2 linked regions of the Neurospora crassa OR74A genome follow. The protein of the gene in region 1 binds, or shares a complex with, the protein of each later gene. Links are inferred from orthologs where the notes say so. Each region holds a gene or a part of one and is shown in the gene's direction. Other genes may lie near its edges.

Region 1 (4,380 bases):
TTCAGTTCCCAGATATATCGCCTTACGAGGAACCCCCAGGATTTTCATTGAACGGAACACCAGAGACGGCAAAGTGGAAGTCCTGAGGAATTAGCGGTGTATAGGCGTCGCCGGGCGCTATACGGCCTGCAGTGAGGCAATCCACGAGGTGGCTGCCCCAGATTCTCTTACCCGCGCCCTTGCGTCCAGTCTGCAGCTGCCCCTGCGCGATGTTAGGCCTTGTCTGGAACCGGATAGGTAATGATTGGCTGGCGACAGAACGGGAGAGGGATTGCGTGTTGCAGCACTCTAGCTGACACGCGAGACAAGCTCGAGACAAGGCATGGGAAAGGTAGCCATAGTGACAAAAGGCACAAGACAGTGAGTGACAGGCAGACAGCCGTCAATGTTCAAGGCTGGACACTCTAACCCTCACTTCTGCCCTGTGGAAGATTCAGTACAAGAGAGAAGATCGATTTACATTCTGAGCACTCAAATGTACGATAGCCAGGTGATAGCTATGGTAGACGCTGAGATATGGAATGTCTTGAATGCTCATTGAGACCATGGTAGAGAAAGCGAACGCACAAGTGCAGCGCCCCCGTGTTTAACCTTGATGTGAAATCTCCTCGCCTTTTTTTTTCAATTGCTCCTCTTTCGGATCTTGCCCCACTGCTGGGTTGGGTTCCAGGTCGATTCAAGCAAGGTAGCACCCTGCTGGAGCTGGCCTAGGAAAAGATGGGTACCTACCTACACTATGCTGTAAGACACGGCCAACGGTGATGCGACTCTTTGACGTTTGTATAGTCAGCCAGAAGCATAACCCTTCTCTGATTCTTGAAGCCTGAGCAGGTCACAGCACTTGGGAATAACATCAACCTCCGTTGTATGCGATTAGCAATTCAAAGGCTGCCATATCAACGAACAAAGACCGAAGAAGACCATCAACATGATAACAGGTAGGAGAGAAATAGTGAACGACCCGGCAGGTGATTTCATAACCAGAAGCTCTCCCCTGTTGACTGGTGTGTCGATCGAAGGCCCGGCTTCCGCTTGGCGCGGCTAGATTCAGCAGAACGGATACATAGCTATCTTGAGGTTACCTAGCTGGCCTGACCCCGCTACAAATTGTTCAAATCGCTGTGCTAGTTGAAGTTGGATAGGTAAATACAACCTACCACCAGGAGGCAGATGTGTCGGAGTTGCACAGAGGCGGGGGTTCCTTATCACGAACATCAAAGTGACGGTCCGGAGTCAAAGCAAAAGGAAAGGTTTCAAAGGTACCCGACAGGTGGAGGGCACGGCCAAAAGTGGAACAAGGAACCTACATAGGTATATGTAACTGTCAATCAGGGGTCCAAAACGTGGGCGCTAACAATTTTGGCCTCGGCATACCAGTTAGGTACCACTGCAGTCACTAGCAGTCACCGGTCACCGCACCACAACACTACCTCTAGTGTAGTGCACTACACACACTAACAGTCAAGCACAGACCACTCCCGCCCCGTCGTCCCCCACCGCCCCAGCCGCGGCTTACCTCTACTGACCTAACAAGAAATGGCAGCGGCCAGCCCGTAGAAAAAGTTTATCGCAACTAATCCTTATCAATTTGCCGCGGGGCCAAAAATCACATCGAAATCTACCTACACAACTGCAAGGCGTATCTTCTCAACCAAACACACATTCCCGGTCGTTCCGCGCCCATCATCGCCATCCTCCATTCCTCCGGCCCGATCGATACGACGAACCGTCACCCGCAGTTAGCACATGCAAGGATGGCGGCTCTCGACGATGGCTTTGAGGCCCTGCTGGAGCCGTTCTACAATGGCAAGAAGCTGACCGATCCCATCTCGACCACGCAGGACAAGTTCCATCTTGTCCCGGCCTTCCTCAAGGTCAAGGGCCTCGTCAAGCAACACATCGACTCGTACAACTACTTCGTCAACGAGGAAATCAAGGACATCGTTAGGGCCAACCGCGTCGTCCGCAGCGACCAGGACCCCAACTTTTGGCTCGAGTTCAGAGACATCCGCGTCGGCATGCCCACCCGCACCGAAGATGGCGAACAAGTCCAGTCTCGAAACCCCGTCACCCCCATGGAGTGCCGTCTCCGCGACCTCACCTATGCCGCCCCCGTCGAGGTCGACATCGCCTACACCCGCGACAAGAACGTTATCGTCCGCAAGAACATCCCGCTATGCCGCATTCCCGTCATGCTCAAGAGCGCAAAGTGCTACCTCAACGGCGCCACCAATGCCCAGATGGAGGTCTTCAACGAGTGCCCTCTCGATCCTGGTGGCTACTTCGTTATTGGCGGAACCGAAAAGGTCATCTTGATTCAGGAACAGCTTAGCAAGAACCGTATCATTGTCGAGGCCGACGAGAAGACCGGCGGAGTCATGGCCTCGGTTACCAGTTCCACACACGAGAGAAAGTCAAAGACTTACGTCGTACTCAAGAAGGACCGGATTGTCCTGCAGCACAACACCCTCTCCGAGCCCATTCCCATCGTCATCGTTCTCAAGGCCTTCGGTGGTCTTTCCGACAACGACATCATCGAGCTGGTTTGCGGTGGCGATGCGCGCTACCAGGACGATTTCCTCATCAACTTCGATGAAGCCGGAAGAGCTGGTGTCTACACACAACAACAAGCGTTGGAATACGTTGGTGCTAGAGTCAAGATGGGCGGTAACAGACCCAAATTCGGTGCCGCTCCTCGAAGAAACCATGCTGAAGAAGGTCTCGACGCACTTGCGAACTTAGTTATCGCGCACGTTACTGTTGAGGGTCTCGACTTCTATCCCAAGGCCGTCTACATTGCCATGATGGTTCGCCGCGTGCTGATGGCAGCTCAGAATCCCAAGCTCGTCGATGACAGAGATTTCGTCGGCAACAAGAGATTGGAATTGGCTGGACAGTTGATCTCCCTTCTATTTGAAGACTTGTTCAAAAAGTTCATTTCAGACGTCAAGTACAACATTGACAACTTTTTCAAGAAACCCAACCGTACCTCTACGTATGATCCCCATGGTGCGATCATGGCTAACGGCCATTATATCTCTCACGGTCTTAACCGCGCCATTCAGAGCGGCAACTGGACGGTCAAGCGTTTCAACATGAACAGAGCCGGTATCACCCACGTGCTCAGCCGACTCAGTTATATCGCTGCGCTGGGTATGATGACGCGTATCAGCTCACAGTTCGAAAAAACAAGAAAGGTTTCCGGTCCAAGAGCCCTACAGCCCTCACAGTGGGGTATGCTCTGCACCTCTGATACACCTGAAGGTGAAGCCTGTGGTCTGGTAAAGAATTTGGCACTCATGACACACATTACCACGAATGTGCCGGAGGAACCAGTTAAGAAGATGATTTTTGCTGCTGATGAGAGCGTGGGACCGATCCGAGAATACACCGGAACAGAGATGCACAGCAAAGGCTCGTATATCATCCATTTGAACGGTACACCATTTGCTGTGACCAGGGAGCCAAAGCGGTTTGCCGCCAGGTTCAGAACTTTGCGTCGCCGGGGCTGGGTCTCTCCTTTTGTGAGCATCCACATCAACGAGCACTTCTCGGCGGTTCATATCGCTACCGATGAAGGACGTATTTGCCGCCCGTACATCATCGTCAAGAACGGCAAATCCATGTTGAAGGCAGAGCACCTGAAGATGCTTCAACTCGGGCAAGCGACATTCGACACTTTCCTGACCAGCGGCGTGGTTGAGTATCTCGATGTCAACGAAGAGAACGATACCCTTGTGGCGCTTCAGGAGGATCAGATCACCAACAGCACTACGCACATGGAAATTGAGCCGTTCACGATTCTCGGAGCAGTCGCTGGTCTAATTCCCTTTCCCCATCACAACCAGTCTCCCCGTAATACTTACCAGTGCGCCATGGGTAAACAAGCCATTGGTGCTATTGCCTACAATCAGTTCAACAGAATCGATACCCTTCTTTATACCCTTGTTTATCCCCAACGACCAATGGTCATTACGAAGACGATTCAACTTATCCACTACGACAAGCTCCCGGCAGGACAGAACGCCACCGTCGTTGTCATGTCTTACTCTGGCTACGATATCGAAGATGCGCTTGTTCTGAACAAGGCTTCTCTAGATCGTGGATTCGGCCGCTGCCAAGTGTTCCGCAAGTATACCGCCGAATTGCAAGGCTATACGAATGGGCGCCGCGACAGGGTTGGCGGTATCATGAAGGACGAAGACGACAAGCCCATTGTTAAGCACGCCATCCTCGACGCCGATGGCCTGGCCCAGGTGGGCTCAAAGGTTGAATCCGGACAAACGATGATCAAGAAGGAGACCCCGTTGGACCAGATCTCTACTGGAATCGCTGGCGATCGTGGGTCAGACGATTACCGTGACGCATCAACCAACTACC
Region 2 (3,576 bases), on another chromosome or scaffold:
GGCGGTTGACAAGTTTTGCGACTGGAAGACCAGGCGCAACAATGGCGTTTACGAACCAGAGAATCGACTGTGGCTCTGCATCGTACCTCTGATCATCAGCGGCTCGGGCTGCTTGGTGTTCGGATATGGCATTGAAAAGGCAATGGGCTGGGTCAGCCTGTTCTTTGGATATGGTATGATGTCGGTAGCATTGACGGCGGTGCCGACCATCACCATGGCCTATGTCTCGGACTGTCTGCTTCCACTAAACTCGGATGCTCTTATGCTTGTCAATGGTAAGAAGCAGCATGAGTCCCTCCTGGTTGAGTAACCTTGCTAATCACGGCACGATGTCAATAGGAACAAAGCATATTGTAAGCTTCTTCTTCGCGGCGTCGGTCTTGATCTGGGTCCAGATGGTGGGTTATGTTGAGGCTTTCGGAACAACGGCAGGCGTATTTGCGCTCATAGTGGGCGGAGGTATGGCAGTGTTGATTCCCTTTGGTGCGAGAATCAGGCACCGTCAAGCAACCTGGCGTATCATCCTGTGATGAGCGAAAGTTGTAAGAAGATGAAGAGGTAGTCAAGCCCAGATTGTCGGTGGTTGGATCATGGGATACACTGCGGCAAGGAGTTCCTTCAGTCAATGCATTTATCGTCCATTGTGGGCATCGATATCCTTCGGGTTGCACGTTGAGTTTCGCAGAAGGAATTTGATGAGCAGATAGATTTAGGGTGGGGGGAAAAGGGAAATCAAGCAGGAGACAATGGGTGAGCTAGATGACGTGTACACGATGTAGTGTGGTGACTCGATCCGCGAGAGTTGCTTTGTCAAAGAAAATTGGCGGTTGGAAGGTTGAAGGATGAGAAAAATGATAAGGTTGCAGAAGACCTGCGAAACTGGGATGGCCTGCGTGGTCCCGCAAGGCTGATCAGAAAGTGGAACGTGCTCCACTGAAGAGGACGCTTACATCGAGCATTCCGTGGATTATGCAACACTTCGGATTCCGTCACGCGTAAGAAGTCAGGGAATATTTACTTTGACAATTTGATATAGAAATACAAGACTTGGCTCATCAATGCTCGCAGTTTTACTTCATGTTGATCATGACTCTTTACTTATCGGGAAGAGGACATCTGACGAATCAACTTCCTGGAACTCTGAGCAGAAGTCACCGTCTTGGCATAACATGAGTGACCAATCACAAAACGCTTTATTCTGCTCTTTCATGCAAGGCTGAGAAAGGCGGGGCATTTCTTCTGGGAAATTTCGTGATCGACCAGTGCAACTCGGTTTGGCAAACCGACCTGCAGTTGGCCATACGCCACACCTTCTCTAAATCCAATCAACAGACCCATTTCAGACTGGGCATTGACGCTCACAACCAGCCAGGGCATTGTCTTTGTCCCGTCACGAGTCCCTTTTTTTCTTCCAAATTGTTGCGTCTCGGTCACCAGAACCACCACACGAAATTCCTAATCACCACCAGCACACGATGGCCGACCGCGACAAGATCCAGATCCTCAAGGATGCGCTTTACGAGGCGGCGAGGGACCACGGTTCCGATCAGCGTCTCTTCACGCAGCGGGACCTGTTGGACATGCAGGTCATCCCCCAAGACAATATCGGGTTGCTCATGCAGGTGATCCAAATTCTCTGCGATGAGAAGCTCTTTGTCGGCAACACCACGGCATCGGGGCTGTCGTGGAGATGGCGAAGCCGGGAGGATGCAAAGAAGTGCGTTACTACCTTTCTTTTTTCTTTTTAGGACACAACCGAGCACACCAACTAACCTCCCCTTCCTCCCAAAAGGTACACCTCCCTCCCCAACTCCGAAATAATGATGGTATACGCCATGGTCGACGAAGCCGGGGCCGACGGCATCTGGAACCGGACCATCAAGAACAAGCTCAACATGGCCGACTCGCTTATGAAGCATTGCATCAAGTATCTCGAGCAAAAGGGCTACATCGCCAGCATGAAGAACGTCGAGCACCCCAACAAGAAGATGTACATCAAGGCGAACCTACGTCCCTCCGATCGCGCCACAGGTGGCCCCTGGTTTACTGAGGGCGAGCTCGACACGGCCTTCATCAACGAGCTACAGGAAATTGTGTTTGACTTTATCAAGCAGAAATCGACATATACTTCCCACGGCGGCGGTGCTGGAGTACCAGGAGTAGGAGCACAAGGAGGAGGAGCACAGCAGCGTGAAAAGAATCCCAAGAAGGGCGTGGTTCAGGGGACCATTCCCCACTCGGAGGATATTTCCAAGGGGACGAAGCGCAGCGCGGGCGAGATTTCCAACGACGACACGGCGGCACCGGCACCGGCCAAGAAGACCAGGCCCGGCAAGCCGCAATTGCTGCCTCTCCCGGCCGGTTACAAGTCGTACCCGACTGTGTCGGACATTGCAAAGTTCATCCACCACGCCGGCATCACGAATAATACGACGTTGAGCGAGGCGGATATCCAGCAGTTGGTGGATGTGCTATACTACGATGGCTTAGTAGAGCCTGTCAAGGTCAATGGGCGCAAGGGGTACCGTGTGACGCGCATCCCCAAACAGGATCCGAGGACGTGCAATCAACGACGCCTCGACCATGATCCAACCAAAGGAGGCATTGTTACCTCATTTATGGGAGTTGAGCCGAGTGCAAGTGGCCTTATGGAGGCGCCTTGTGGGCGGTGCCCTGTCTATGATATGTGCGAGGAAGGCGGACCTGTCAGCCCCAGCAACTGCGTCTATTTCAGACGGTGGCTGGATGGTGACGAGGTACAGGAACAAGTCATTTCGATCTGATCGACTCGAATGTGTTTGTGTCTCCGTTTAGAAGACGTTGCATGGTCTCTATCACAACTGCATTAACGGCGTAAAAAAAAAGAAGGCAAGGGTAATTTGGTTTCATCTAGGCGTTGGAGGTAATCTGTTTAGCATTCAATGTGTTGGCGATAACATTCACATGACCTGCAAACTGTCTAGGAAAAGACATCAGTTTACGTGATCTCATCAACCATCAGTTTGCGTAATCACATCAACCATCAAAGCGACAGTGATGACGATGCAGTGAAGAAGGGTGGGTGTGCAGCGCAGGAAATCCATTTTGATGGGCTATCTAGATATTATAGCAGCACATTCATATGAATATTATGGTACCGCGACTCCAATCCCTAAAACCCTCGACAATGTCCACAAGGGAATTTAGAGAGCGCCGCAGTCGACAATGGTGGGCTTCTTGGAGTAACGAATAGCACCGCTGCTGGAGCCAGTAGCCTCAAGGGCCTTGACGACCTTCATGGACTCATCGTCAGCGACCTCGCCGAAGACGACGTGGCGGCCATCGAGCCAGCTGGTGGGGACAGTGGTGACGAAGAACTGGGAGCCGTTGGTGTTGGGGCCGGCGTTGGCCATGGAGAGAAGACCAGGGCGGACGTGCTTCTTGGCGAAGTTCTCATCGGCGAACTTCTCGCCGTAGATGGACTTGCCACCAGTGCCCTGTTCAGAGAGGTTAGGTCTTTATTTTCCCATGTTCGATAGCTTGTTGGGCGGACATGGACTTACGTTACCACGGGTGAAGTCACCACCCTGGAGCATG

What was found.
Region 2: NCU01772 (region 1) and NCU00727 share a complex: the UniProt entries of both Schizosaccharomyces pombe proteins name them as parts of the RNA polymerase III (Pol III) complex. The link is inferred for Neurospora crassa OR74A from reciprocal best matches to the Schizosaccharomyces pombe genes rpc2 and rpc34.

The regions. Positions count from the first base shown.
Region 1 is NC_026502.1:2,489,707-2,494,086, forward strand, and holds the start of NCU01772 (DNA-directed RNA polymerase III polypeptide), read left to right. Parts: upstream 1-1,568; 5' UTR 1,569-1,754; coding exon 1,755-4,380. UniProt on the Schizosaccharomyces pombe protein: DNA-dependent RNA polymerase catalyzes the transcription of DNA into RNA using the four ribonucleoside triphosphates as substrates. Second largest core component of RNA polymerase III which synthesizes small RNAs, such as 5S rRNA and tRNAs.
Region 2 is NC_026501.1:7,401,048-7,404,623, forward strand, and holds NCU00727 (hypothetical protein), read left to right. Parts: upstream 1-1,282; 5' UTR 1,283-1,475; coding exon 1,476-1,717; intron 1,718-1,792; coding exon 1,793-2,783; 3' UTR 2,784-2,992; downstream 2,993-3,576. Other genes in the region: NCU00728 (hypothetical protein), read left to right, coding at 1-310; csr-1 (peptidyl-prolyl cis-trans isomerase), read right to left, coding at 3,183-3,476, 3,543-3,576. UniProt on the Schizosaccharomyces pombe protein: DNA-dependent RNA polymerase catalyzes the transcription of DNA into RNA using the four ribonucleoside triphosphates as substrates. Specific peripheric component of RNA polymerase III which synthesizes small RNAs, such as 5S rRNA and tRNAs.